Lepisosteus oculatus: one gene and its partners. The protein of the gene in region 4 binds, or shares a complex with, the protein of the main gene of each other region. Links are inferred from orthologs where the notes say so. Each region holds a gene or a part of one and is shown on either strand. Other genes may lie near its edges. The genes, in order: pigc, dpm1, piga and dpm2.

The links.
Region 1: dpm2 (region 4) and pigc share a complex: the UniProt entries of both Homo sapiens proteins name them as parts of the glycosylphosphatidylinositol-N-acetylglucosaminyltransferase (GPI-GnT) complex. The link is inferred for Lepisosteus oculatus from reciprocal best matches to the Homo sapiens genes DPM2 and PIGC.
Region 2: dpm2 (region 4) and dpm1 share a complex: the UniProt entries of both Homo sapiens proteins name them as parts of the dolichol-phosphate mannose (DPM) synthase complex. The link is inferred for Lepisosteus oculatus from reciprocal best matches to the Homo sapiens genes DPM2 and DPM1.
Region 3: dpm2 (region 4) and piga share a complex: the UniProt entries of both Homo sapiens proteins name them as parts of the glycosylphosphatidylinositol-N-acetylglucosaminyltransferase (GPI-GnT) complex. The link is inferred for Lepisosteus oculatus from reciprocal best matches to the Homo sapiens genes DPM2 and PIGA.

The regions. Positions count from the first base shown.
Region 1 is NC_090704.1:31,465,471-31,472,838, forward strand, and holds the start of pigc (phosphatidylinositol N-acetylglucosaminyltransferase subunit C), read right to left. Parts: upstream 3,010-7,368; 5' UTR 2,876-3,009; intron 2,809-2,875; exon of another isoform or gene 1,894-2,808; intron 762-1,893; 5' UTR 755-761; coding exon 1-754. Other genes in the region: uncharacterized protein, read left to right, coding at 3,622-3,680, 3,987-4,186, 4,419-4,549, 4,640-4,754, 5,509-5,522; tmed5 (transmembrane emp24 domain-containing protein 5), read right to left, coding at 7,318-7,368. UniProt on the Homo sapiens protein: Part of the glycosylphosphatidylinositol-N-acetylglucosaminyltransferase (GPI-GnT) complex that catalyzes the transfer of N-acetylglucosamine from UDP-N-acetylglucosamine to phosphatidylinositol and participates in the first step of GPI biosynthesis.
Region 2 is NC_090711.1:9,602,433-9,610,402, reverse strand, and holds the start of dpm1 (dolichol-phosphate mannosyltransferase subunit 1), read left to right. Parts: upstream 1-4,969; 5' UTR 4,970-5,005; coding exon 5,006-5,136; intron 5,137-5,856; coding exon 5,857-5,956; intron 5,957-7,269; coding exon 7,270-7,303; intron 7,304-7,503; coding exon 7,504-7,580; intron 7,581-7,947; coding exon 7,948-7,970. Other genes in the region: heat shock 70 kDa protein-like, read right to left, coding at 877-2,820. UniProt on the Homo sapiens protein: Transfers mannose from GDP-mannose to dolichol monophosphate to form dolichol phosphate mannose (Dol-P-Man) which is the mannosyl donor in pathways leading to N-glycosylation, glycosyl phosphatidylinositol membrane anchoring, and O-mannosylation of proteins; catalytic subunit of the dolichol-phosphate mannose (DPM) synthase complex.
Region 3 is NC_090710.1:20,913,487-20,920,823, reverse strand, and holds the start of piga (phosphatidylinositol N-acetylglucosaminyltransferase subunit A), read right to left. Parts: upstream 3,004-7,337; 5' UTR 2,864-3,003; intron 1,505-2,863; 5' UTR 1,435-1,504; coding exon 711-1,434; intron 508-710; coding exon 375-507; intron 1-374. Other genes in the region: vegfd (vascular endothelial growth factor D), read right to left, coding at 5,812-5,821, 6,756-6,948. UniProt on the Homo sapiens protein: Catalytic subunit of the glycosylphosphatidylinositol-N-acetylglucosaminyltransferase (GPI-GnT) complex that catalyzes the transfer of N-acetylglucosamine from UDP-N-acetylglucosamine to phosphatidylinositol and participates in the first step of GPI biosynthesis.
Region 4 is NC_090719.1:15,315,037-15,322,899, reverse strand, and holds the start of dpm2 (dolichol phosphate-mannose biosynthesis regulatory protein), read right to left. Parts: upstream 3,003-7,863; 5' UTR 2,906-3,002; coding exon 2,903-2,905; intron 2,395-2,902; coding exon 2,305-2,394; intron 1,810-2,304; coding exon 1,707-1,809; intron 1,159-1,706; coding exon 1,103-1,158; 3' UTR 1-1,102. Other genes in the region: uncharacterized protein, read left to right, coding at 3,872-4,233, 4,570-4,697, 5,085-5,300, 5,812-5,960. UniProt on the Homo sapiens protein: Regulates the biosynthesis of dolichol phosphate-mannose. Regulatory subunit of the dolichol-phosphate mannose (DPM) synthase complex; essential for the ER localization and stable expression of DPM1.

The DNA of each region.
Region 1 (7,368 bases), on a different chromosome or scaffold from region 4:
CGAGCAGCGCGGCGCCCGCGGGCGTCAGGCTGGCCACGCCCGCCACGCCGCCCAGCGACACCAGCGCGGCCGCCCAGGGGTAGGCGCCGGGGCGGGAGGCGCGCAGCCGGTGCAGCAGGCAGGGCCAGAGCGCGAACACCAGCAGGGCGGCCGTCAGCGTGGAGAAGGCGTGCAGGGCGCCGGGCAGCCGCGAGGCCAGGCAGACGGAGGCGAAGAGCGCGGCGTTGAGCGACAGGCTGCCGGGGGGGCTGGGCGAGGCGTAGGGGAAGGACACCAGGTGCGCCAGCAGCATGAGGGCGGCCATGGCGTGCACCGTGTCCGTGCTCACCGACTCCGTCAGCGTCTTCAGCACCGGGGAGAACCCGAAGGTGAAGGCCAGGAAGATGGCCGCGCTCTGCAGGTCCGCCCAGCGCGTGCGCGCGCACCCCCCCCGCCGGCCCCCCAGCGCCTCGTACGCGCCGTAGCCCAGCAGGGCGCAGGGCGCGCTGGCGGCCAGCAGCAGCAGCGGGGGCAGCTGGCCCTGCTCCATGCAGGACCACAGCGTGAGGAAGATGGCCACGCAGGACAGCTGCTGCGCCACCAGCCCGGCCTCCCGCACCACCGGCCAGTACCGGTACCGCCGCACGCCCACGTTGTACCGCAGCTCCTCCAGGAAGCGCCGGTCCACGTAGTTGTCGGGGAACGGCTGCCGCTCGTACAGGACCTTCCGCCACGGCACCGCGGGGGTGGATCCAGGGTCGCTCTCCGCCCCCATTCTGCCCCTGCGGGAGAGTAGCACGGCTGTGAGGGCTGGCACTGCACTGGCACTGACTGAGGCTGACCCTGAGACTGACACTGGCACCGAGACTGAGACTGGGATTGACACCAACTCTGGCACTGACATTGAGACTGGCACTAGGACTGGCACTCAGACTGAGACTAGGACTGACACCGACACTGACATTGAGACTGGCACTAGGACTGGCACTCAGACTGAGACTAGGACTGACACCGACATTGAGACTGGCACTAGGACTGGCACTCAGACTGAGACTAGGACTGACACCGACACTGACATTGACATTGAGACTGGCACTAGGACTGGCACTCAGACTGAGACTAGGACTGACACCGACACTGACATTGAGACAGGCACTAGGACTGGCACTCAGACTGAGACTAGGACTGACACCGACACTGACATTGAGACAGGCACTTGTACTGGCACTGACATTGAGACTGACACTGACAATGAGACTGGCACTAGGACTGGCACTCAGACTGAGACTAGGACTGACACCGACACTGACATTGACATTGAGACTGGCACTAGGACTGGCACTCAGACTGAGACTAGGACTGACACCGACACTGACATTGAGACAGGCACTAGGACTGGCACTCAGACTGAGACTAGGACTGACACCGACACTGACATTGAGACAGGCACTTGTACTGGCACTGACATTGAGACTGACACTGACAATGAGACTGGCACTAGGACTGGCACTCAGACTGAGACTAGGACTGACACCGACACTGACAATGAGACAGGCACTTGTACTGGCACTGACATTGAGACTGGCACTAAGACTGGCACTCAGACTGAGACTAGGACTGACACCGACACTGGCATTGAGACTGGCACTAGGACTGGCACTAGGACTGAGACTAGGACTGACACCGACACTGGCACCAAGACTGCACTTGTACTGGCACTCAAACTAAGACTGACACTGGGACTGACACTGACACTGGGACTGGGACTGGCACCAAGCCTGCACTGACACTGACATTGAGACTGTACTTGTACTTGTACTGACACTGGCTGTAGACACCCAGGCAGGAGCGGCGGGCAGGTACACTCGTCACACTGACGGCACGGACAATGACCAGCACACCTGAATCACACACCTCGCTGCGCTACTGACAGTGCGAACGGCACAGCACAGCCGATAACTGCTGAAACACGCCTCTCCTGACCCACATGTCAGCTCTGTTCACGTGCTGCAGCGGATCCCAGTCCTGGTGCTGGAGACCCACAGTCCCGTTGGTTTTTGTTCCAGCCAAGCTGTCAGTCACACTGTTGAATGTTTTAATTGCCTGAATGACATGATTAATTGGACCTGTGTGACTGTTTTCAGACTATAAACCTTCAGGAGGCAGCCTTTTAACCATTACATTTCCTAGTTGAAATCAAATCCCAAACTCTTGAGTTGGAAAAAAAAACACTTGCAAATGTTACAATCAAACAGCTGATGAATTCAATTAAGGCCTCAGTGAGGTGATGAAGCTCAGCTGGAATGAAGGACCTGCCCTACACAAACGACTCTACCCAAAGGGTTGTGGGGGTATGGAACAAGCTGCCCAGCCACGTTGTGGAAGCTGATATCCTAGTTTCTTCCAAGAAACAGCTGGGTGAGATACAGGGTCAGTTAGTTGCTAACTACCAGAAGGGCCACATGTGCTGAATGTGCTCCTCTCTTAAGTGCACTAAATTAAACTAAGGCGGCACGGTAGCGCCGTGATGAGCACTGCTGCCTCGCACGGCTGAGCCCAGGGTTCAATTCTGGACCTGCGGTGCTGTCTGAGTGGAGTTAGTATGTTCTCCCCGTATTCGCGTGAGTTTCTTCCGGTTTCCTCTCCTGGTCCAAAGACCTACCGGGGGGTTAATAGGCCCGGGTGTAACCGTGTGCGTGTCCTGCGATGGACTGGCTTCCCGTACGCAGTGCACCCTGCCTCGCACCCGTTGCTTGCTGGGACAGGCTCCGGTTACCCCGCAACCCCGAACTACTGTAGATGAGGCGGGTAGAAAATGGACTACAGGAACCAGCCGGTACGGGCTACAACAATGTTAAACACATGTCGGTATTTAATTCAATCTCCCTGAGCTTACCTGTTATCACAACGCCGTATGAAAAAACATTTCCATTTCTCTGATAAGCATGTATTTCACTAGGAGAATAAAAGTCCTCCCAAAACAAACGTAGAAAACAGGAAGCAGTGAGTGATAGGCTACCACTGATTTCACGAGTGTTATAGAGCGACCTGCATCTACGTAGTGTCTTCAGTAGCCGAGAGCGCCCCCTGTCGAGGAACTGTTAAAGCACCATTGAGGACACTCGAGTCTATATTAAGAGGAGAACGGCGTTTCGATAACAGGTCTGCCCAGTAATAAACGATAGCACTTATGCTTTATCTAAAAGCGAATCAGACGTCATCTATGTTATCGGCTGTTCTAATTGTTAATCTAACCTGGAATAATAATGTAATTATTATCTTCCGCTCCTCTAAACTGTTAGCGTCTTTCTACTGAAAGCTTGAGGCTGAACGCTGTCTCTGCAGCCTGCAGGTCGAGAAAATGTCGGGAATCGATGTCCAAAAGGGAGTTTGCAGGTGTTAAACAGGTTATAACTTTACAGCTGCTCAAATACTCTGTGTTTTAATGCTGTATTCACGGCATGTCACCCGAAGAGAAGTATTAAACTGAATAATTAATAACATTTCAAAGAGGGTCTGATAGTATGGGTCGGGGTCTTGTCTCTGAAGCGTGGCAGCCCGTCTGTGGAGCCGTGGGCGCGCTCAGGGCGGTCTCGCCAGGCCCAGCGGTTTCTCAGCAGCGCGGCTCTCTCTCTGCCACAGGTAACCCGGGTGAATATCGCCCCCCCGTCCCGGCCCTGCAGGAGGGATGCTGCGCCCAGGTAAAGAGTACACACGACCTGACACGTTCATTTCGGGTGTTTTGCAGAAAACGGAGTCTTTTTTTTTCCTTTGAGGGGAAAAAAAAAGCTCTTTTAGAGTCTTGGTGGGTTTAAAGTACAATGACAGCCACTTCTGGTCAATAATAAACGGACTCCAGGTCACGGATTAGAGCTTCTTGTAATGGATGGTCGGTGAGAACAGCTGTTATTGGTCCGTTCAGAGGGAATGAACTGGAAAAGGCGAGACTGTCGACGCTTGTAACAAAGCAATAGGTTGTCCGCTTGTGATAAATTCCCGCTGTGCAGCACCTCTGAGCTGGCCCACAGCCCAGGGGGACAGCAGCAGCGTCCTGTCCCCGTGTCTCCTTTCCAGTCGCCGTGCTGTGACGAGGAGGGCTGGGTCGTGGGGAGCCCACGCGCATGGGACAGCACCCGCGCCATTCAGAGCTGCCGCCCCCACCTCCGGGATCCCGGCACCAGACCCAGGGACCCTCCAGACGCAAACGGTACTGCCGCTCTCCTGCGCGACTCGTCCCCTAGGCCTTAGGCACGTCCTTCAGCTGCGGGCCTGTAGCCGCAACAGCCGCTGCCGGAGCAGAGAAAAGGTCACAGACCAGAGGAGCCGGTCGGCCCGTCAAGCTCGTTCAGCTGAATAGTCTGCGGATTTTAACACCCGTACGCGTTTCTCCGTTGGTGGTCTTCCGTGTCGTTGTTCCTGACCCCTCTGCTGCTCCCCAGGGCGGCGGCGGCGCGGCCGGTCTCGTGCAGCCCGGGGCGGGGCCGAGAGCCGGAGTCCAGGGGCAGGAGGAGAGTCCGCTGCCGCCCCCCAGAGACAGGACCAGGCCAGGCTGCCGGCTGCTCAAGGCCAGGTGAGATGCCGGCGGCAGCCAGGGGGGCCGAGGCTGTGCGATCAGTCCCTGCTCTGGTTCTGCTGGCTAACTGTGGTGTCCTTCCCCCAGGCTGAGGCCCCTGTGTCTGGCGGACGTCGGTGGCCCAACCGTGGGTCAGTGTCAAGGTATCGTCCCTGGACACTTGTGCGGTCAGCGCAGGACCCCGGCACCCACAGTCCCGCAGGTAGCCTGGACAGAGCTGGGGCCTCTGGTCACTGGCCATCCTACATTTCTGTTCACCTTCACGAAACTGGCTTCAGCCAAGGCTGTCGGGACTAGGCCATTCACACCTCGCTAGATTTAGCTGTCTGGTCAGTTTTCCTCTGACAGGTGCGAGACAGGAGCTGTGATTCTGTGCTTTTCTGCCCAACTGTGCAGGGCTGAGGACAGACAGGCAGGCAGGCGCCCTCTCTAGTGTGACGAAGACGACTCACCCTCAGCTGGTAGGGTAACTAAGAGCAGCACAAACACTCCCTCCCATTCACACACCTCAGGAAAATGTCAAAATAATACAGTCCAAAAGGGCGGGAAGACTTCATTGTTCACACTGAACTAATTATTAGAAAGAATATATTATAGTGTTCTCCTCTGTCCCATTTAGTGATTCAGGCCATTGCATTGCTCAAGGGGTGACAGTCACCACTTTTAGGCTTTTCAAGAGCCTGGCCAAAGAGCGCCAGTTTTTAAGCTACACCGAGATCTTCAGCCACTCTCAGAGCCACAGCTGAGGGCGACCTCAGGATTGTCCAACAAGGTGAACTCGATGGGCTCAATTCTGCACCTCAGTCTTATGTAAAATACTCTATTAATGCACACAGTACCGTCACAGATTGATCATCCTCACCTACCACCCTTCATTAAACTCGTTTACACTTTCAGTATCTTCCTGCATTATGAAGGTCCTATTGTGGAGTTCATGTAGGTGTCTTGCCTTGCAGACTGCATCTCCTGAAATCTTCACTCCCAGAAGATGGCGCTGTCTACTGGGCACCACTGTGGACAGGAACTGCAGTAATGTGGAAGCTGGTCACACACAAATAAACAGGAGCCTTTTTCCCCGATTCCTGCTGCAAGCAGTCATTTATTGTCTGTATGAAGGCACTGCCAAAGCCGGTCACGAATTTCAACTGCAATGTCACATTATCTACGCGAGCAGAGTGACGTCTCCCTCTCAGAGCCAGCGGCGAGCACACTGACCCCTTCATCTTCTAACACGTCACTGTGCGCCACCTCTCCAAGCTGGTTAGTAACATGACCCAGGCTCGAACCCGCAGCACATGAATCAGGGCGCAAAGGTAAGTCTCTTTACCAGCTGAGCCACTCTGCAGCTTCCTCTTGGCTCGTTTTAGGAAGGTCTATTTCTTATTCCTTTACACATTTAAATAATTTGGAATCTATGTAGAAAAGTGAACTGGAAAAATATACACACGCTTAATGAGGTCAGTTGAAAATTTAACTTGAAGAAGAGGAGAACCCAGAATCTGTCATGTCTCGGTGCGGCAGGTCGGGGTTCAGGGGCTGAGTCTCAGTGCAGCAGGTCTGGGTTCAGGGGCTCTGAGTCTCAGTGCAGCAGTCCTGGATTAAGGGGCTCGGAGTCTCAGGGCAGCAGGTCGGGGTTCAGGGGCTCTGAGTCTCAGGGCAGCAGGTCAGGCTTCAGGGGATCTACATGTCGGGGCAGCAGTTTGGGGCTCAGGGGCTCTGTGCTATGGTGCATTAGTTTGGGACTCAGGGGTTCTGAGTCTGTGGTTCATCAGTTTGGGGCTCGGGGGCTCCAAGTCTCTGCAGCAGGTCGGGGCCCAGGGGCTCTGCACTGTGTGGAACAGAAGCTCATGAGGGCTCACCCTCTGGGACTAGGACTGTTTCACAGTAAGAAGCCTGGCACTATTCAGTCAAATGTGAAACCTCCTTTTCAGCTCTGGCCAGGAGCCTCTTGTTGACGTCAATAACACTGCTATCATGTGAAAGCCCTTTCCGTCATCCCAGTGTCTCTCTTCAGTCATGTGGCCAGGATCTGAAGACGTGCAGCCTCATTTCAGATTGTTTGCATAGCTGTACACATGGCTGCCGTGGGCTGTGCACTGAGCACAGCTTGTAAAGGGGATAAAGTGAGCAATGTCACTAATCCCTCAGGGCACATGAGGAGTAAGCCAGAATCACTGCAGACGTGTACAGGCACAACAATGTAAAAACGTAAAACAATGTTTCAGCAGAAATTAGTCATAATAATAAGTCATCACATAAATGGCTTCTGCTCTTTTTTTTCTAATTTCAGAAAATGTAGTTTGATCTTTAGAAGAAAAATTTAGATCAGACCAGTCTCTCTTTGACACAACATGTAACAGTCCCTCTTAACATCAACCATCTTCCAAGACAAAAAGAAAGCCCTCAGGAGCAGAGATAATGAGCCCTGATGAAAAGAAATCGCAGTTCGGGTTTTTGCTGGAGGTATTGTAAGGTTCGTGTGCTGAAGCAGCGATTTGCCTTCACCCAATCCATGACGAAGCGCGTGGGCTCCGGTAGCGCTCCGCTCTTGAGCTTGACCTGTCTTTTCAGTCGAATTAAACAAGAAGACCACTGGGCAGAGAAAGCCAAGAGTGGGGACAGACTGTAGAGGAGTCGGCGTTGTGTCCAGGAGCAGCCTGCCGCCCGCCTGGCCCCCTCCCCCAAGCCCTGTGAGCGGCCCGCCGGGCTGGGCCTGGCCTGGCCTGGCTGGGCCGCCTGTCCTCCCCCCCCCCCGTCCGGCTACGCTATGTGCGGCTCCTCCTCTTGTCGTCGAAGAGGCTGCGCAGCAGGTAGAC
Region 2 (7,970 bases), on a different chromosome or scaffold from region 4:
TAGGAAACGTTGTTCCGTAATGTTCATTTCATTATTGTTTTACTGCCCAAGTAGCATAATGGACGTTGAAAAACAAATGTTTACGGGTGATTTTTGAGGACAGGGAAAGGTGTAATCAAGCGGACATTAAACTGCTACTACTGTATCTCTCTGGTTTTAATTAGTTTCTTGCTAAATTATACTCAGTCTAATAATAAACATTTTACTATACATACTATAAACGTTCCCTCCGTTTTGTAGCAATATGAGAAGAGCCAGCTTGTCAAGTGGATGGCAGCCCAATATTTAGAAGAACAGAGGAAACATCAATGTTGTGGAAGGGCTGCTAATTAAAAGTAACTTGAAATGAATATATTCGTTACCAGTCCATTATTAAAAATACTTCTCGACAAAAACGTATAAATGTTTATGAACCGATGATATTAAAACAGATGCTCCCACTTCATAAAGAAGCTGCAATTGAAAGACTGAAACATTAAGAGTATCTGTTCACATAGTTTAACAAGTAACTCAGAACAATAGAGTATATGAACACTAAAAATGTAAAACCTTAAAGTTATTATAATATTCTTCATTTCAGCTCACAATTACCTGCAGATGAATGAATTCTATACTATCTACCCCTACAACAGCATGTACAGTAAGCTACACCATTAAAAAAAGTGAAACCACACCATTAAATCCACTGCAGGCCTTTATTTTAATATATATACAGTATATCAGGAAGTAATAAATAACACTTATATGTACCAGTCCAACCAGTAACAAGGAATATTCTCTCATTCTAGTGAAACTGGTCTGTATTGAACTGAAGCTCTGTCACCCCATCCACTACAGTTATGAGCGTCCCATTTGGGAAGTATCAGTCTAGTCCTCTTAATCCACCTCTTCAATGGTGGGCCCCTGGGAGGCATTCCCTGAGCCTGTCCGTGCTTGGCTATCACAGCCTCCTGCTGGCATGCCTCCTTGCATCCCTCCCTGGTACAGCTTGGTGATGATGGGGTTGCACACTTTCTCCAGCTCTTTCAGCTGGTGCTCGTACTCCTCCTTCTCTGCCAGCTGGTTGTTCTCCAGCCAGACAATGGTTTGGTTGCATTTCTCAACAACCTTCTTCTTGTCCTCCTCGCTGATCTTGCCTTTCATGTTTTCATCCTCCACACTGCTCTTCATGTTGAAGGCGTAGGACTCCAGGGCATTCTTGGCAGCGATCTTCTCCCTCTGGGCATCGTCGTCTGCTTTGTACCTCTCGGCGTCCTGCACCATCTTCTCAATTTCCTCTTTGCTCAGCCGGCCCTTGTCATTGGTGATGGTGATCTTGTTCTCTTTGCCAGTGCTTTTGTCCACTGCAGACACGTTCAGAATGCCATTGGCGTCAACGTCAAAGGTCACCTCGATCTGTGGCACCCCTCGTGGGGCAGGGGGGATACCCGTCAGCTCAAACTTGCCCAGAAGGTTGTTGTCCTTGGTCATGGCTCTTTCCCCTTCGTACACCTGGATCAGGACACCAGGCTGGTTGTCTGAGTAAGTAGTGAAGGTCTGGGTTTGCTTGGTGGGAATGGTAGTGTTGCGCTTAATGAGGGCTGTCATGACTCCTCCTGCAGTCTCGATGCCCAACGACAGTGGAGCCACGTCCAGCAGCAGTAAGTCTTGCACATTCTCAGAGGTGTCCCCCATGAGGATGGCTGCCTGCACAGCTGCACCATAGGCCACAGCCTCATCGGGGTTGATGCTCTTGTTCAGCTCCCTGCCATTGAAGAAGTCCTGCAGCAGTTTCTGGATCCTGGGGATGCGAGTGGAGCCTCCAACAAGGACGATGTAATGGATTTGAGACTTGTCCATCTTGGCATCTCTGAGTGCCTTCTCAACCGGCTCCAGGGTCCCTCTGAAAAGGTCGGAGTTCATCTCCTCAAAACGAGCCCTGGTAATAGAGGTGTAGAAGTCGATGCCTTCATACAGAGAGTCGATTTCGATGCTGGCCTGAGAGCTGGAGGACAGGGTTCTCTTGGCTTTCTCACATGTGGTGCGCAGTCTCCTCAGTGCTCTTTTGCTCTGGCTGATGTCCTTCTTGTATTTCCTCTTGAACTCTTCCACAAAGTGGTTGACCATGCAGTTGTCAAAGTCCTCCCCACCCAGGTGTGTGTCCCCTGCCGTGGCCTTGACCTCAAAGATCCCATCCTCGATGGTAAGGATGGACACGTCAAAGGTGCCGCCACCCAGGTCAAAGATCAAAACGTTGCGCTCTCCTCTCTTGCCCTTATCCAGCCCGTAAGCGATGGCAGCTGCTGTGGGCTCATTGATGATTCTCAGCACATTCAGTCCAGCAATAACGCCGGCGTCTTTGGTCGCCTGGCGCTGGGAGTCATTGAAGTAGGCAGGAACGGTGATGACGGCATTGGAGACTTTCTGTCCCAGGTACGCCTCGGCAATCTCCTTCATCTTAGTCAGGACCATAGAGGAGATCTCTTCTGGGTAGAAGGTCTTATTCTCTCCTTTGTACTCCACCTGCACCTTGGGCTTGCCTCCATCACTGATCACCTTGAAGGGCCAGTGCTTCATATCCGACTGCACAACAGGGTCTTCGTACTTCCTGCCAATCAGCCGCTTCGCATCAAAGATGGTGTTATTGGGGTTCATGGCCACCTGGTTCTTGGCTGCATCTCCAATGAGCCTCTCCGTGTCAGTGAAGGCCACATAGCTCGGGGTGGTGCTGTTGCCCTGGTCGTTGGCGATGATCTCCACCTTGCCATGCTGGAACACCCCCACACAGGAGTAGGTGGTGCCCAGGTCGATCCCAATAGACACTCCCTTTGGTGCAGACATCTTTCCGTGTGTCTACAGAACAAATAAACCACACATTTTCTCTGATACACATTTAACTGCTCAGTTATGAATACATCAGATACTGTAGTTCAAATAATTTCTGCTGGAATGTTTGATTTTTAAACTCTCCACATGAAAATTAAAGTATAAAAGTCTCATTCAGGCTATGAGGTGCAGGTTTTTCTCATAAAGTGGAGTAACAAGGACAGCAGTCCCCCAAGACATCATTTTACCCCATTATTACATGTTTTTTTCACCTTTCCAGTACACTTTGTAAAGTATACAAGAAGTGCAACACATTAATTCTAAAAATCAGCACTTTCTTTCCTTACACATCATGTATCTTTTCAGCTTTAGCAATTTAGATTTTTGCACATTTGTAAAGTTCAGTCACATTATCTAATAATTGAACCAAAATAATATTAGATTAATCTTTGTTTTAAATGTTGAAACATTTGTTTCCTAACTGATCAAATAACTTTCTAGACGTGTTACATTACTTTTCAACAGCTATGTAAACTATGTGCTGTTTATGTGTCAACTTACATTTTAACAAAAAGAATGTATCAAGTTATTTTGCAAACGCAGGACACAGTCTGTAGTGTTACAATATTTTAAGTTTGTACACATTAACGAAACACAAATGTTGAAAAACGATGCAGCAAACATCAGCTTAAAATGTCACACGTTTACACGCATTGCGGTTCACCTATAACGAGATTAGGGAGATGCTCCGATGATTGTCGGAAAAACCCGATTCTCGCTCGGCGTTCCGTCCGTGTGATCGTTCACTGTTCTCAGCGCTGCCCGGTGCGGCTCAGCCACCCTTTTTATTCACTTGCCACTTGAGTTTCAGAACTCTCTAGTGAAGTCGCAGCCAATCAGAGGGGGGCTTTACGTTTACATTAACTGCAGTTGCTAAGGCCCCCCTTCCAACCTCAAACCAGGGGGAGGCAGAACCTTCTAGACGGAGCTGGGAGTTGCTAGTTGGGAGTCAGAGCGGTTTATCGACTTACCGACTCTCGTACACAAGATTGCCTCACTGGGGTCGAGGTGTGCAAAGAGCACACAATGTTGTCGATGCACTTGACTGGCGCCAGATCCGCTGTAGTACTATCACTGTAATATCAACAGTTGTTTTTGTCCAAGAGGTGACTTGTTGTATAGGAGGTTAATAAAAGTATTATAAAGCGGGAGGCAAAAAACAGCAACTGCAGAAATATGAATTAGGGTAGCACGGGGCTTGAATAAGTGGATTTAGTAGCAAATGCAATGCAAACAAAGTAGCAAATGAAATGAAAACAATAAATATTTAGATACTTAGATGAAACTCACAACTGGGCAAATACCTGGATGTTTGATGTTGACAACTGCAGAGTATTATATATAACTTATAAGCCAGTAGCAAAAACATTAATTATGCAGCATATGCAAAAACGACAAAACACCTGGTTTGAAGAGGCTGCTGATGAAAAACATTATTTACGCTGACACATCCCTTACAGCTTCTTGACAATGGGAAGAAGCAATAAAAATGCAAATACATTTTTCGTATTTAATGTTTAAAGCGCGGAATTTAAATGGAGACGTCAAAATTGTGCAATGCACTACCAAGACCTTATTTAGAATATTGTGAATAGTTTGATTGACACAAAACGCTACAAAACGCTTTGCAATCGTGGAATTAGTCCATCTAAGAGCGGAAAGGGACATTCTGGGATTTAGGAATATACTGTACAACACTGAAAGGCTAAATGCGCTGATTTTGTTTTTTGTCAGAAAAAAACTACCCTGAGGGCCTGATCCAAGTATTCAAAATCCTTCAAGGCTGAGTGCCGTTCTGTCGTTACTTATCCCTAGAAATTCATTTTCTTAACAATTTATTCCGTTTGTATATCAGCATTTTAAATTTTAATAACCTGCAAAAACTCTTTTGTCCAAAAAATCCTTTCTTGCGTATTAAGAAAATCTATGGATTGTAGATATTTTAAATATTCAACGAATTATTAATGGTATGACTTATTTATGTATTTATTCATTATATTCCAAAACCAAGGAATAAATGATCGTACTGAGTAGCCTTTTTATCCGCACATCTCGGAACCTGGTAATGTGTTCTTCTACTTATGGGTGAATCGGGGGTATATTTTATTGTGACACTTACTTCCGGTTCTGCACTTCCAACATGGCAAGCAGGAGAAGCTCGGAGAAAAGCCGTACCGGGACAGATAAATATTCAGTATTACTGCCCACTTACAATGAAAGGGAGAACTTACCATTAATTGTGTGGCTTTTAGTGAAATACTTCGGAGAAAGGCAAGTACTTATAACTTAAATGTCTTCTATGTGTTTGTTGAAGATTAACTACCACTTACTGATGAGCTGTCATTATCTCTGTCAGTGTAAATAAGCAGAAATACTGTGCTAACGTGACAATCGATACTTTTTATGTACCTTGTACTTTCTACTAAAAAATATGCGAGACACTGAAAAAGAAAGGTGTATCGTTGCCCATTCAGAACGTGTCTTGAGTTCGCAGTAGGTTTTTCAGTGTGCCTATATAAATTATTCATTGACTGGTGTTATTAATTTGAATGCAGCAGATCATTTATATTAAATTAGGTTCTTGTTCTCGTAGTATTGTCAATGGCCGTTTATGTGTCTCCTGTAGGAGCATTTTCTTAATTTTCCGAGCAAATCTTTTGGAGAAAATATGTTTTACTGCCATTAAATATGCGTTCTCTGCAAAAGCCCCCCCACTCTGGAGGGAGAGAGTTAAAACGGTGGACGTCTCTTGACTAACTTGCAAATTTACATCACAGACCTCTTCAATTACTTGGCTGGGGTAGACGTCCTCCACCTCAAGAATAGGTCCCAATTTAAGTTCTAAATCAAAGCTGCCAATAGCATGCAGAAGACAAATAAATGTGTTCCTTTCGTGGGTTATGTAATGCTTGGTGCAGCACTGACGAAGTTTAAAAAGCCTGAAACATTTTGCGTAATGTCTGTTAAGGATTATATTATTTTTTATTACAGTGAGTGCAACTATGAGATCATTATAATTGATGATGGAAGTCCTGATGGGACACTGGAGATGGCAGATCAGTTGCAGAAGATATATGGTTCAGATAAAATAGTAAGTGGAGCTATGGTAGACATGGGTCTAACAGATTGTGTACACGGTATACATGTTGGTGCTGGTCGCTTTAATTAACACGCCTATTGTGTGTGAACTCACGTGTAATTTTATTTTAGTGCTAATGATTATTTTCATCCTCCTTTCTTTGTTTACACCATTCTCTGTCTTCTAATAGTGGTCATGATCCTAGACATTTACATATGTTTTTCAGCATAGATGGTGAATGTTAAACAATGTGTTCAATGTACACAGACAAAAAAGCACAATTGTATGTGTGGTTGATTAAGATCACACTTTAGATTAATACAGGAAAATAGATTATTCCAAAGGGTTCACAATTTTGTTCTCAACAGTAAGCAGCAGATACATGGAATATGGGTCTAGAATAGGTTTGGGAATTTGTCTTCACAGTTATTTCACAATTTTTGACCTCTGTGAAGTTTTTGTGCTGTATCTTGTATTGTTCTGTTTGTCTTTGGTTAATGTTGTAATGGAATATAAAGTCACCTTACAATCATCCGTCATAAAATATGGAGCATAACAGCGAGCACAGAGTAATTAGAACATGGAGCACAGAGATACAGAAGTGGTTCTCTTGTCATTTTAGGAGATAAGTGTGTCAGCTGCTACTGTAGGAAGAACTTAATTCAGATGGACTTCCTAGGAGGAGTTTAAAATCTCCTTTCACTATTATTAGTTGAAATTGTGCAAGCAGGTGAAAAATACTGTCTGAATTTGAAAAAGTCATCATCAAATCAGATGGCAGTTTGGCAAGTGCAACTCAAGCTCTTAGATCGTGGGTTCAAGCCTGTTTCATGTCACTGCTGAGAGTAGAGTTAGATTATTCTGCCAGGGCAGTCAGTGATACAGTAGAGCCTGCGGCCTCCTGGGCACTTGCAGGATTGTGGTGGTGTTACTGCAGGGGTTGTGTCTCTTCTCCTGCTGGCGCTGAACCTCCAGTACTGGAGTGCACTGACTGTGTCGCGTTCGAAGAAGAGTGGTTCGAAGTTATGCAGGTCGGAGGAGTCAGTATGCCCTTCCTCATTCTCCCCTATGTGCGGCTGCAGGGTTTGTGGCTACAAGCCAAGAAAAACCCATCACTGATTATACCACAAAATTGTGTGGGTATGACAAAAACAACTGGCAATTATAAATGTATAACTAAGTGTGCTTATGAGAAGAATAGCTTTCTTCTCTGGCAAGTGAATCAGTCTTGTCATATTACACAAGCTTGTAATTAATCAATGAAATGCTCATGGAGTTTCTCCAGTCTTGCAATCTCTGAATTTCTTTTTGTTTTGTCTTGACAGCTTCTTCGACCTAGAGCAAAGAAACTGGGATTAGGTAAGGCATTCTCATGCTGGTGGCTAGTGATAGTAGTTTATAGACTTCTGTGAAGAGACTCTTCTCCTAAGGATCAATGTATTACATTCATTCCAAACATTTGTGATGCAGAACATTTGTTGTCAGTAATGAAGAATTTAAAAGGATAATGTTCACTTTGCATTCATTGATTGTAACATGGTATTTGACTTTTTGTGCAGGGACAGCTTACATTCATGGAATTCAGCACGCTACTGGGAATTACATCATAATTATGGATGCTGATCTCTCCCACCATGTAAGTTGTTGTCTGTAAGAGAAGCTTTTAAGCTCAGTTAGTTTTCAGTTTAAAAGAATGTAGATCCTTTTACCTGATGATTTCATATTTTTTTGCATAGAATTTTAAAAGAAACCATCGATTCTAATACTGATATAGTAGTTGAAGTGGACAATTCCATGAAAGTAACCCATTCACATCTAAAGTTGTTTCTTCTCTGTTAGGTCATATAATTGTAATTAAGAAGTTCAGTCAGTTTAATGATAACAGAATAGCTTAAAAGCGTATGTTGTGGGCTGAAGTTGAACTGAAAACCAAAATCACTGCATATACTGTAACAACAACATTTTGTAAATTAATTTTTATTTTTGTTTCTTCCTTCACTCAGCCAAAATTCATTCCAGAATTTAT
Region 3 (7,337 bases), on a different chromosome or scaffold from region 4:
TGTTAATGAAAATATCGATCATGCCAGAGAACTAAGACCTTTAAAGATTGAATTCCTAGAAATATCTGCTTTTCTTTCTATAACACTTAAGTTTACAAACACATGCAAAAAAAGTATTAATAAGTGCCAAAACAGAAAAACTAATTTTATATGAAGTTCTGACAAAAAAATACTTCTCATTTCTACAGAATATTGTTCTTCTTTTAATAAGAGAAGATAACATTTTTATTCATGTACAGTACTGGTTAAATCACACTTTACAATTATAAATATAAATTTGAAAAGCACCTTGTTTTGCTGCATTTTATAGTGTACTGTAATTAGAGCTTGGGTTTCAATGAAAAATACCAATTGCTCCAAAAATCCTAACTCACCTATCATGAAGCTGGTACTTTTCTCTGACTTCTTCTAGGACAATTCTTTTAGGTCCCTCACCACCAATGAGGAAATACAAATCTGGATGTTTCAGGCACAGCTCTGGAATTATGCCACCAAGCAAATCAATCCCTGCAGGAAAGCATGAATAAAAATTTCCAGGAATTACTAAAATCAACAATCTATGTATTTCTGCACTTCACAGTAAATGTGATAAAATCATTAAAGACTTAAAAGATATAAAATTATGTTCTGACTTTGAAATCAATATTAAAATGCAAGTTTAACCTTAATTACTGCTAAAACACATTTTTGCTTTCAGAGGTCACTCTTACCCTTCCTATAAACAAGCCGGCTTACTACCACAATGGTAATCTTGGTGTCATCCCTCTGGGATGGATCTGGAGTGAAGTCAGTGGGATCAACAGCATTTGGAATTACAGACACTATCTCAGGATCCAGTGCAGCTCTTAGGACAGTGTTCTCTTTGCTTGTGAATGACACACAGATGATGTGGTTTGTGTCACAGAGCGACACAGTGAGCAGCTTATTGGTCAGCACCGAGCTCACGTCTGCAAAGCCAAAAAGGGAGTGGTCTGTGAAAACTGTGTGCAGTCCCATTGTCTTGGCGTGAAACAAAGAATCATGAGCCATGGCTGAAAATGAACTGTGGGAATGGACAATCGTGATCCTTTCCCGTACAAAGATGCACCTGAGCAGAGGCAGACTGTGGAAACATGTTGTTGCTGTGGACTGATTGTACATTACCTGCAGAGGTAAATAGTAAACCTTCAGTCCATTAGTGAGGTACCTCACACCTTTTCTGTTCCTGTAAGCATGAGTCACAATTATAACCTTGTGTCCTTTTTCAATTAAGCATTGTGATAGTTGATAAATGTGGCTTTCAACTCCTCCCATATTGGGGTAAAAGAAATCAGACACCATGCATACATTGTGCTTGCGGTGAGGATGATCCAGGTGATTGAGTCCAATGTCATCCAAGAGCCTGCTAATTTTGGGGCCCTCTGAGCTCCTTCCTATTCTCTGTTCCAGCTTCATAGTTCAAAATTCAATTCAAGAGATGCATCTATGCAGGTTTAGATTTGTACTCCTCAGCTCAAATGCACACCTATAAAATAAAGATATGTTATTATTCTTTCACCTCTATACTATTACATATCCACATGAATTAATCCACAGTGCCCCTTTTCAATATTACCAAATATTACCAAAAATTACATTAAACATAAAACCCTTCCTATTTTTTATCAATGATCTAGATTCTGGTATATTTAGGTAAACTAGTCAAATTTGCCAATGACACAAATTAGGAGGACTGGAAAACATGCAAAAAAGAAAGGGTAGCAAAAGTAAAACTATAAATGCAAAATAAAAAACACTCTGAGATAGAAGCAGGTTGAATTCTGAAAAGGAATTAGGTGTCTATGTTGATGAGCCATTTACTTCTAGGCAATTCTGGGACGCAGTTAGAAAGATGGATGAATTTTTTGGATATATATATTAGTAAGTGACATACTGGTAGATTAATTGGCGTCTGGAAAAAACGGCCAAGGTGTTAGCATGGTTGTCTGTGTGTGCCCTGAGATGGACTGGTGTCCCATCCGGGGTGTATCCTGCCTGTGCCCACTGCCAGCTGGGATAGTCTGTAGCTTCCACACGATCCTCAATTGGATGAAGCGGTTAGAAAACTGATGGGTGAATGCATGGAATTTAAATCAAGGGGTGCTAGAATTGTGTAATGCACTTCGTAGCGCCTTTTTTAAAAAAATTATGTTTACAATTTTGGTCACTATGTCATAAAAATATTCCTGCTCTGGATTCGGTCCAGAGAAGAGCAATCTAATACATTTCAGGGATTAAGGGAATGTAATACACTGACAGGCTTAATTAACTGAACCTTGAGTCTTGAACAGAACTACTACAAGGTTGTGGAAACCGATATGCTTCGGTAAACAGCTTGATTGGAGTAATTACTAGATACCAAACGGGCTATATGGGTAGAATAGCCTCTTCTCGTTTGCAACAGTTCTTAATCACAAAATACTCAGGTTACTGTAAAAATGTAACCAGTCGCAGCACTTGGTTAACACAATTTATCAGGAATAAGTGTTGACGTATTTACAGAGCATATTATACAGCTACACTCCGATAAACTCATTAGGTTTCGGTTTGAGCGCCCTGCATTTGATGACCCAATGCTTTCTGTACCCGCTCATAATTTATCCCCAGAACGCTTCACAGCAAAGCACCCTTACCTGACACCAATCTAAGCGATTGAACTGAGAGGTGCCACCTTCGAGAAACGGTACAAACTAAAGCTGTCATAACATTTAATCACTGCACCGCGAGGTAATAAATGCAACAGCTGGTTATCTAGAATTGTGACTGGAAGAAACTAAAAGAACTTCTGTTTAACAACTACTAGTACATTTATTTTAGTTTTTACAACAAACGAAAACAGTATTACCTTATATGTAACGATGGGTTGCGTATCAGTTGCTTCCTAGGACTACACAGCTTTTTAATTATTTTAGTACAAAGACAGGCTTTCTTATTAAGCAGAAGTGCATGTTCGTTTTCGTTTTCAATGAGCATTTCCGTGTTGAACGCGAGAGATTACTTCCGCTTGGCATGCTGGGAAATGAACACTTCCGCAGTCTTCTGGTGTATGTTAATTTACTGAAAAAAATGTACAAGTAAATGACTGGGATCTTATTTGGTCTCTTTAAATTGTAAACTCTCTTTTATTTCAAAACGACTTGCGTTAAATAATTTTAATTTAATTTAAAACAATACTTTAAAGCCTTAGTCGTATGGTTCCCTGGTGGTCTAGTGGTTAGGATTCGGCGCTCTCACCGCCGCGGCCCGGGTTCGATTCCCGGTCAGGGAATGCAACTTTTTTAGTCTAGTTATTGATTGTTGATTTGATGCCTTTTAATTTTTAAAGGTACTTGTGTTGACGTATTCTATTTTCTCGTGTTGAAACTTAACGAGCGATAAGTTCACTAATGTTGAGAGACATTTGTGTTAACATATTCAGTATTCTGTACTTTATGTTCTTATTTAGGTTTTTTTTTACTGTGGTAATTTGTTTAGTGTGAGAGAAGTTTTATTTGATCACTGACCCAAGGGAAAGTGTTGTGTGGACGTTTGAGGAGAGAACGCAGGCTCGCGCTGTGTCCGTTATTCTTCTTTTTCATTTTGGTTCTCGGTAACGTTTGATAATCGGCAAGTGAAAGCTATTTTCCTTCTATGAACACTTTTTTTCCTGTAAAGTACAAATAGTTAGTTACTCTGAAACCATTTGAGCAAAAAAAAAAAAGGAAAATCTTTCTAAATCTGTTTACTCTATGCTGATGACATTTTCCTATGTCAGTTAACCAAGTACACAGATCTTCAGGTTTTGTAAGACCCCACGTTTCCGCGTACCGGAAAATCGTAAAAAAGAATATGCTTGAGGTTCTTGAATAAAAATAAACTGTATCCAACTAGATGGGCTTCTATACGATCTGTTGTTCGCATAGGTTATATTATAGAAATGGACATATTTCCTTGCCTATTTATTTAATTTGTCAAGATCCTTTTAACTCCCAACAAAATGCATGGAACAAAGTAAAACTGTTACAACTACTTTGCCTCATAGATTTTGCTGGCCTGAACATAACTTTTAAGTATTTAAGTTGAGGATGTTTACAAAATGGTTGGATTTGGGGCATCAGCCTCACTGAAGAAACTTAAACTGAGCAAGTTAGACACTGGGATCATATTTCTTCTGTTCTCGAAGTCAGGACTGTTTCCTTTGAAATGGTCCCAGTCATTGCACACTTTGGACAGTTGGAGGAAGGTCAACTGCCTCTTGACATATCATAAACGTTTATTAGGAATAATTTCCTCTAATTGATGGGTTTTGAGCTCTTCAACTATCCATCTCTGTATATAAGATAGTATACTTTTGGTGACATCTTTGATTACAATGGCCTGCACACATTTTTCAGACACACCTATTCACCTCCTCGGTTTTCCTATTGTATTGACCTCAGACCTTGCTCATCTTTTTTGTGCCTGTTGGGAGGACTGGGACACTGTCTGGGACAACATTATTACTCTCTCTAAAGACCTACTGTACCACAGCATATCCATTTCAAACTTGAACATAAAATGCACACAACACCATACCAGTGGTTCGACATCGTGTGTGCTTCCAACTCTCTCTGTCACTGAAGCCCTCAGAAGGAACCCGCACCTGCCTGTTTGGGGAGTGGCCTGTGATAGAGCGGTCTTGGGCGTATGTGACTAATGGGCCTTTCTGGTATGACAGTGCTGCTGAGCCCTGGAAAGCTTCTTCTCAATGACTATCCCTGTGCTACTGTTAATCTTGTGAAACAACACCTTTTGTTTATAAGTCTAACTGCTGCCAAGAAAACATTTTAAAGTTGGGTGGGGACTGCCATAGCCTTAAATCACACTGTTTTGCATTAATTTGCAGATTATTTCTAGCACAAAGGAGTATAGATAGGATTGTGCAAAACCTACATCTGCATGGTGTGTTGCTTTTTTCCATCTTCAGAATTTGTTTTATTAGCCCAGAACCGGTGATTGCACTGACAAAGTATGTGTTTAATGGGATTCCCATTTCAAAATTATTCATTCATACTTCATACAGCTTTTGAATGGTTAATTGTCGCATGGGATGAGAATGCCTGAAAATGATGTCAAGTAACCCTAAGGCTATTTGAAGATAAAGTGTTAGTCTCTAGTTACAGCTAAGAACAAGGTAAATATATCTCTCATGGGAACTACAGTTAAAGAAGGAAATCAATTACTTGGTGTGAAACGTGTAACAAAACCTATAATTTGGAAAAGGCTGCACCTTGTAAAAACTACTTGACAGGGTGTTTTTCATTTGCACAGGAAATTCTGAAAGATTTGTATATAACTTTAAAGTTAGGAAAGTATTTGACATTTGAGAAGAGCATTGTATAGTTTCTTCATCTAGCCTGCTTTTGTAGCATTTGTAAATTCTAATGGTGTTGCAATTATCTAAATTAGATGATAATATTGAATAATAATAATCACACAAGACATAAAAATGCAAACATTTTATAATTCACATAATATACATTTAAATATATTATACAAAATAAGCATCAATTGTGACAAATACAAAAATATGATTTTAAACTGTAAAATATATGTTCAGTGCCTACAGGAAGCCAAGTTACAAACCATCTGCTAAAACTTAACAGCTTTACATTTAGAAGTAATTTAATGTGGTCCTTTTTACACTTCTTGTGTGTAGGAGGGGGAGGAGTAATATAAACATTAAATGCATGACAGACATAGACACGTCAATAAATTAATTTCTAATTTCAAACCGCTCAACCTTTCAGAATGTCAGTGCTTTATCTTCCATTTTCAGTTACAGCTGTGGAGAAAGAAAATGGTCATTTTAACATGAGCAAGAACAATTGTTATATGCCGTTGTTTATGATAGATCATATAATGAAAATGATAAAATCTAATCCTTTTAAAAAACCTGTATTTCCAAAGACTGATGTCAAATTGGTGCAACACTTTGAATTTAATTTAAGGTTTGGTATACAGAGGCTAAGCCATGTGAAACTTCAATGTAAGTAATAATTACTAAAAGGCTCTGGTATAATCGTCACTGATGTTTACTTTTTTGAACATGTGACTTCTGAATCAATTACTAACTAGAAAAATTAGAAGGAAAGCAGTAGGTTTTTGTGAAGTATGAATGTGTTTTTGTTAATGAAGAATGCATTAGATTGTAAAAATTACCACACAGCATACACACAGTTTACAAGTTTGGGTGTGTCATTTCAGTCTAGAACATAATTTGGTTAACTATTTGGTTTCTCTACAGTGTGATCCTTCCTTTGTTCAATGTGTCATCTGTTTCCTGTACAATACACGACTCAAAATCCACATGTGAATTTATCTTGTTTTCCTAACACTTTCCTAACACTATCTTTAATAAGATTGCCATTAATTAAATTTGATAAAAAGGGATTGAAGGACCAATACTTTATGTCTCAAGCATTACATTTTTTCATTGAGTGTATTGCTTAAATGTATCCCAGCACACTAAATAATTTGCATATGCTTTATAAGGTTTTTTAAAATGGTGAAATTATAATTTTGTTCATTTTTCTTCCTAGAAAAATAAAAAATATATTTTTTAATCTTCACATTGCAGTTTTCTATTCTGGCCACATTTATTCTAATAGGAAAATGATTATCCTAATAGATTCTGGATTCGACCATTAGTTTAGTTCAGAATTATGCATCGTTAAGGTGATTTGACTTGCTTTAAGTCAGTGAATATGGTAATTTACCTGCAGGAGCCTGGGTCAAACTCTTTGTTTTCTGTGGCACAGATCTCATGGTTTAGAGAACAATGGCAGCTACAGTTTTTCTGGTTTATTGTGTAATTTCTGAAACAATTGTTCTCACAAACACAATCACATTGGTTTTCATCAAACATCCTAGGAGGCCCACAGTCTGACAACTTGGTAATTGGAGAAAATTCTGAAAAGGAAGCAGAGAACCTTACTGATAGAAAAGAAAAAAGATGCCAAAGAAAATGTCTTCTGGTGTCAAACAGAGTACTAAGTGAATTAAAGGAAATAAATGTTATTTATTCTTCACATAGAACTTATCACTCCAGAAAATGTTCACACAACATGCCAAGCACATACTGGAAAGACAAAATCTCCAGTTCCTGGAAGACTTCTATAAATCAGGGAGTAATACAGCCAATGCACCGAACTGAGATAAGAAATCATCCTAGTATCTTCAATCGTTTTCAAACATGAACTCTGCTGTCCCAAGTCATTGTTAGTATTTAAAAAATGTATATCCAAATGTTTTAAATATAACCAAGTTCAGTTTAAAATTGTGTTTAATATATAACAAAA
Region 4 (7,863 bases):
AGGTATGAACTTTGGAGCACAACAGTACATTAAACACACCATCCCTCCATCCACTGAAATCAACTTTAACATGCTGGGTCTTTAGTCAGCCTTGAAGCATGTGTGTTTTTTTACATACACTTCATATTTTAAGGACTAAACACACAGTCTTACAAGGCGCAAGGTGTATAAATCAAAAAGTACGAGAAGGTCAATACCTGCACTCACATTTGAAATGTGTGCAGGCATCACAATTCATGCATTTGTGATTTTTGTTAAAAAAAGATAAGAAGGCAGTTTTGTGAACCAAGATGTCATTGTTTTTTTTTTTTTGGAAGGGTAGTCACAGCATTTTACAGATGGAGGTACGTTACAGGACAAAAGCTGCCTACAAGTGTAATTAAGTAGACATCACAATTTTACTGCATACTGTACATAAATATATACAAGCTTGTCTGCAATGCAAAGGGGGCACTGATATTACATGGGAATTAATTTCATCTTCCTGTAGCCACCACAAAACTAGTATGGAGTTTCACTGACGCAATGTTTTTAAAATAAAACTTGCAGGTAAAGCATTTTAGATGTAATGTTAGTGGCAACATTAAGAACTTCCATCGTGCTTTTAAAAAAAACTGTATCCCTTCAATTCAGTGACGGAAACGGGTTACATGAGTCATCTGGCTCTCATCTGGGAGCGACTCTGTGGATTACAAGCCGGCCCCTCTGGGTTTTTGCGACAAAGTGCTTACAGCCATGCAGTCATTAAGGGTGTGTGGAGTGCGCAAGGACGATATTCTTCTCTGCAGCACCTCGAACGTTTGCCTGGGGGAAGAGGGCGGTCTGTGACCTGCACAGCAAATTCCATTTCTGCTCCACTGTGGGTGTAACCTCACAAGCCCCCGTCCGCTCGGATTTACCCTTAATTCAACCCTTGAGACGTCAGCACAGGTGACTCTGAAATGGCTCAAACTGCAGTGCAGCCCGCTTTTCAGACTTGCCCACAGAATGTCCAAAGTGCTCTGCAATGTGAAGGAAAAGGGATTCGTTCATCGGTTCACACAGGAGCTGATCTCACTCATGGGGGTTGGACTCCTGGATGCTTGTGAACGAGCTGCTCTTTTCACTCTGACTTCTTTGGTTTCCTGTTCTTCCAGGTTACTATGCCGATAAAGGTTCCTGAATATAAAAGAAGACATAGTTATTCTCTTCAGAAAGAAACAGAAGGCCAAAGACAAACGAACTCTCTTCAAATCTGGGACCTCTTACCAAAATGTAAAAATAAGTGTGCAAGTGTGACTCATGCACTGCAGATGTTGTAGCCATGTCTACCCAGACCAGCAACAACAACAGACAGTTTCACAAAAACAATGTCTGAGTGAATCATCACAGCCACACTCGTGGCCTTAAAGACTCCAAAACAGAAGGAGAAGAGGTGAGAGACCTCAAAGCAAAGAAGTAAATGCTTTCAAGAAACAAACGAGTGCGATTCGTGAATCAGTTCAATGGTCTTGCGTTCTCTGGTCATTGTAGTACATGAGCTCGTGTTTGTCATAGAGAACTGGCTATGATAACAACCACCTTCAAGCTGAGACGTTCACGAAGGTTGGAAAAGGTTAATAAATGCTCACCCTCAATCTGAAACCTTGATTTGTGGGAAAATAAGCACAGGCTGCCGATATGTTAAGTGACTGTAAATCCCCTCCCTGCAAGAGAAACACACCTACCTACAAAGAGCAGCAGAATCAAAGCTGCAACGCCAGGCAATATGACAGAATACTCCCGGGGGAGAAAATACTGGTGCATCACGTGGTCACTGTCCACAAAGGGCTGCAAAACAACAACCAGACCAGGGTTACCACATGTCCCCACATCCCCAGGCATCTCCTCCTCCTTCATCACTAAATCTCCATCTGGGAGGAATTTTCAAATATTTTAAAATGGTTGAAATTCTTTATCTCTAAAGGTCTGACAAGTGTCTCAGCTGTCTTATCTGATCCTGTACTGTACACAGCAGCGTTTCTTCAAGAGATCTTTATTCAATGCTGTACTTTGCTATTCCTAAACAAATGCCAAAGTGAAAGTGCGAAGCCACTGCAGAACTGAAGACGACATTCCCATGTTTTCAAAGGGGAAGAGAGGAATGGGACATGAGCAGTGGGCATGAAGACCTGTCTGCGAGTCTCAGGGGCAAACAAGATACATTGATATGTACTGTATACACCTTATATACCCTATAAAACGTGTCAAAGACTGCTATTGTGTCACTGGGGAAAACAGCCAGAGGATCAAAATCCACATGAAGCAAGAGAGGTGAATACCCACCAAGATTATAACCCAGACTGTGTAATAGGTGAAGAGCAGCAGGCTGAAGCTCACGATGCCCATCCCAACCGCCTGATCCGCTCCTGTAGCCTAGCAAAGCCGTGGAAAAGAAATGTTAACCGATAGCACCGATAATCACACTGGGCGTTTCGTTCTGCTGTCGCAAGGTGACTGTGCAACTGCAAAAACTCCGACACAGGTGCTTACTTGGATTAACTGTCCTCTAACCCCGAAGAAGATGTTATATCCACGCACAGATTTTACGGGTTGATATGTTGACTGTATCTTATTAAACCCCACACATAGCATAACTTTATACTGAATACAATACACACTACACTTCAAAGCGAATTCGTCATTTCTTGCCAAAGCTACAGTTTCTGTTTGTAAGAGTATATATTATCTCGTTAAATACGTACCTGTCTTTCCGAGTTGCCAATTCATTCAAATTCTATGAAAGCTGATACAATAATGCAGCTCAGATAACGCCTTATAAGCATAAGTCATTGCACTAAATAAAGCATTAACCAGGCTTCACAAATTACAAAGGAATATTTATTATAGCTACAGAAATCGAACATGTTTAAGTCCAACTCACCATATTGCACTCGGTACTTTCCTTCCTTCTACGAAATCGTGGAGCTTCCAACTTCCGGTGAATTCTGATTGGTCCCTAAATCTTCCAATCAAAAATTTGAAGAATTATGGGAAATGTAGTTTTTTTTGCGATGTGACCAACTTTGAAAAGATTGGATTAGATGACGGGTATTTTGCTTGCGAGTTCGCTATAGCCTTTCGTGCGTGCAATCATTCACATTAGTGAAGAAATTATTACATGTGAACGGATATAACAGGTATTCAGAATATTAATTAACTCGAAATTTCACAGATGATGCGAAAAAACACAAGGTGGCAACAAAGGTGCACCTGTACTGTTAATTCTATACAGTATGCCACATACTGGCCTGTTCTGCTACTGTACCATTCATAAGCTGTGTGGTATATAGCATTATATTGATAGTATAGGTGCAGTTTTGTTGCATCCAAAAATCTAATACACTTTCTGCTCTGAATTTTAAATATATAGATTTGATTTTGTTAATGTTCTCGTTGTCTTGTTACGCTGATGCGCGTTTAAATAATTTCTCTTAAAAGAAATATTTAAATGAGCTCCAGCCTTGCAATATAAAATGGGTCTCACTATGAGCTAGAGAGCGCGTCGTGGTAAGTTCTTCAGATGCAGCTACGAATTTTCTTTTCTTTCCGTGTTCCGCTCCTGAGCTCCCGGGGTATTAAATTAAATCGCCAAAAGTTGTACGAGCGTAAACGTGGTCCTATTCCAGTGGGTGACTCAACTTTTATCACTGCTTAGAGCGAAATCGGAATATCTCAAAGATAATTTTGACACTGGTTCTATAAGAAGAAGAAATCTCTCGCCATCCCCAAATGCAGCTCTTGCAACGCCGGCTGGCCCAGGCTGCGTCAGACCCCTGGAATCTGGTGGTGACATTGTAATTGCTTTCCTCGGTCTCATGGAGCTGCCACAGCTGTCAGAGGAGAGTTACTAATGAGAACCCCGGGAGAGGCACGCAGCGCCGTACTCCAGAAACACCCCAGCGGGATGGAGGTCTGCAAATTCATCCTTCTCCTTGCCCTGTGTTTTATTCTCCCCTCTGCGTCTCCTCCACCCCTGAATAAGAAGCCGGGGTGCCTCAAGGTGAGCCACTGCAAGTGTCTCCTGAAGGACGGCTCGGGCGTCATTAACCTGGCGGCGCTGGGCGGCTCGGCCGGGCTCCCGCAGCGCTACAGAGCCGAGCCGGCGGGGGCGGACGAGGTGCTGGTGTCGTTCAGCCCCTGCTCGCCCTTCTCCGAGCCCGCTGAGGTTCCCGGCACCCAGTGCCTGGAGGTGGCCGCCTGCGTGGTCGTGAGGTAGGGTCAGCGCCTGCTTGCGGGGCGGAGGGGAGTGGGGAGAGACTGTAGTCCAAGTGCGAAACGGTGTTGTTAGGACTGGGAGCAAACAAACCTTACGGATGCTCAGAGCAAATACTGCAGTAAACTGTTATGATTTAAAAACAAATTCCTTATTATAGCAGCATATTACTGTATTCTACTCCGATAAGAATCACTGGCTGCCGATGTCGAGGTCAGTACGGTTACTGCGAGGGTGCCCTTGTCACTGCTGGCGGACATGCCTGATGAGGTTGGCACGGGTAGGTGCAACCTAAACCTTTTTTTCCCCTCCGACAACTCAATTCTCTCTCCCAGACACCACACAAGCAGCGGCGGCGTCGAGAGTCGCTACTTCAACTACGGGCAACACGAAGGGAATGAATTCAGATACGACAACCAATCGCGGACCCTTTCAGTTACATACCCAGGTTCGCCGTCTTTATGTTAGCTCATCAGAAACGTAACTTCTTCCGGGCTTGCAAATAATTAAATGTCAGTGAAGGGCTGGTTAGGTCTAAGAACCAGACATGAGAGCAATTCTGTCATAATCAATGAGGGATTTCATTTTGAAGAGATGGAAGTTTGAAAGAGGATCTTTGGTAATCCTCAGGTGTGAGTGTGTATTGTCAAGGTACATTTATTGAATTGAATTGAAACCTTTTCCTGTTTTTTTGCTATGAGGTGACGTTGTAAGTGGAAAGGGATTGTGTGCCTCTGCTTTGGCCCTGGTCAGAACTAAAAGAAACGTCTTGCTGCCCACCGTGAATGTGATGTGAGAGTAGTACAGGCCGTGCGAAGGAGTAATTATCCCCTCGATGTTCTTTAACAAGTCCTTTCCAGCAGCCTGGTCCACACTGTGGTACACTATCACTGCAGCCCCAACCACTCCGTGTCCCTCTCCCAGCCTGTGGAGCACAACCGCGCCCTGGAGATCTTCGTCCGGAGCCCCTGTGCCTGCCCCAACTCCTGCAACCTGGAGGACGTAGGGCCGATGACCATCTTCCTCATCGTCCTCTGCCTCGGCACTGCTGCGTACTTCATACTGGGTAATCGACCTGCCAGGCGATCCGGATGTATTTTATAAAGTGGATCTTCATGCATGGTGACCCCCACCTCAAACTGTCTTGCAGTCAGGTTACAACGGGACACAGAACTCACAAGTCATTTCTAGAACAATAATATAACTCAATGGGTGGCCCTATGCAGTACACACCAGAGGGTGCTGTGAGGTGCAGTAGTCGTGCTGGTGAATTTTTACCCCGGTGCAGGAGTGAGCAGCCCTGGGATGACAACCCATCGAGTCTTCTGGTTCCCAGGACGCCCTCAAATCATCAGTTTCTGAAAACTTTGACCAACAAAGCGGGGGATTGGCGCAGTTAAAGGGGAATTACAGCCCCACTTCCTCAGAGCAGGTGCTGCGGCCGAGCTCTCCACTCGGCGGGGAACTGCAGCGCTCGGGGAGGGAGGTGCTCGCAGGCGGAGGACGGAGTGAGGCGTTCCTCGCCCTCGCACCAGTGCGGTCAGCGCCCTGAGGCACGTGCTCTCTCTCTCTCCCAGGTTCCTGCGCGCTGCGGCCCTTCAGGAGCACGCAGGGGGTGCAGATCAGGCCCGAGGAGAGCCTGTGGTGCGTCCTGTGCTACCAGTTCACAGAGGAGAGAGGGAGGAGGCTGGGCCGGAGCCAGTGCATCAAGGAGGAGACCCTCTGAAGCGGAGAACTTCGCAAGCCCTGTCTTGCAATGTGGAGCGCTGCCCCCTGTCCTTATCTCCAAGACACTTCAACACATAGCCTCTATCAGCCAGGGGAAAGGCCAATTACATAGGGGGTGTTTATAGAGGTAGTTAGAGATAGCTTTCCCACCCATGGGAAAAACTACACTATGGATCGATGCATGTTTGAGCACATCCAAAAGAACCTGCTGCCCACCACAGTACCCAGTCGGCTGGCATCCTGGAAGACTACCAGGAGAGGAATGATGGTCAAACTAATATGGGTCCCAACTTTGTCTGTGGAACCTTGTTCCTCACGGTTCCTGTCACCTTCAGATCATCCTTAACCCCCTCTGTGCTGGGATCATAGCCTGGGCTTTTCTCCACTAGGTGATTGCTGGAGGTCAGTTCCTCATTAACACCAGGAGAGGTCCTCCAGCTGACCTCTGCATAGATAATGAGATCCAAGACCAGAGGAGACGCATGGCGAGCCGCAGCCTTGCAAAAGCTCTCGCATGAACTGGATTTTTTTTTTTTACTCCAAATTTGTTAAGTTTTTCTTTCCATCCTATTTTGGGTTTGTTTCTTTTATAGTTGTCAGTTAGGCTACAGCCAGGAGTTAGCCAGGTCCCATTAATACTTTCCTTTTCTGTTTGCTATATTTTCAGGTCTACAGCTGGTTAGTTTTATTTTCTTCATCACGGGACCCACCAGTTTCTGGACTTGTTATTTTTTCAGTTACCCAACTAACACTGTACCTGCTGTTATGGAATAAACAAGTGCCGGTTTTGTACAACTGCAGCTGATTATTAGCCACAATGGGCACTTCGCACCTGTGCTCGAAGGTGTTCGTTCCACTTGCAGTTTTTACCATTTTCCTCACCCGCGGTTACGCGATTTTTTAAATCCAGTTAATTTTTTATCAATGCTCCAGAACTAGGTTGTTATTTTTTTTAGAAATAAGTCATGGGACAAATTCTCAAGTTGAAAAACAATGGAAAACTGTTCAAATAGGGAAACACCAGGCCCTGGAGACTGGGGAAGAGAATTGTTTCTCCAGTTTCACTAATAACTTAGTATCCCAAGTGTCAGCAGCGTGCTCTTCTTTTACTAGAAACACTTTGGAACAGGGGATCTTTTTTTACACTTGGTATTAGTTTAGAAACAATATGTAAAAAGACAATATCAAGTTGCTTACAAAAACAACAAAAAAAAGCCAGCATCTTCATTGAGGTACCCAAGGACAACTTTATTTCCCCAAAATATTACATTTATAACTTTTCCTATTGTAATGTTACAATCTAAAATAGGAAACATTCAAATGTGAGAATACAAATATACTTTTCATTAAAATACAGTACGGTGCTCCACCTAAAGTGAATCAAATCTGTAGAGAGAAACCAAAATCCTGTTTCAACAAAAAGAAGCCTTTGGAGCAATGTTTTAATGTTTGTTATAAACTTTTATTTCCAACCAAAATGCTTTTAGAGAATCACAAAAATAGAGCCATCTAAATATTTCTCTTAATACATTCCATTATAGATCCATTGAGTTAAGGAAAATTATAGAAATCTCTGTAAATCTAATTCAATCTAAAGTACAAGTTAGAAAGTGTTAACCTTTTTGTCAGGGAGTCTTGGACTCCTGTGCATAGCTTTAATCCCTTTCCAAATTAAACATAAACCGAAAAAAAAAATCGATGTCAAAGTCCAAGTGCTGTTGTGATGAACGTCATGTAGCCTGGGGTTTTCAGAGAAGGGACACTAGGAAAGGCCAAAGCAGCCCTTTACCTCGAACTGCAGGTCTAGGACAGACGGACAGAGGGGCCTTTGGCAAGTAGGCATTTCAATTAACAGTAACATTAGCCAATTCAGTTATTTCGCACCTCGCAGTACAGGGGTA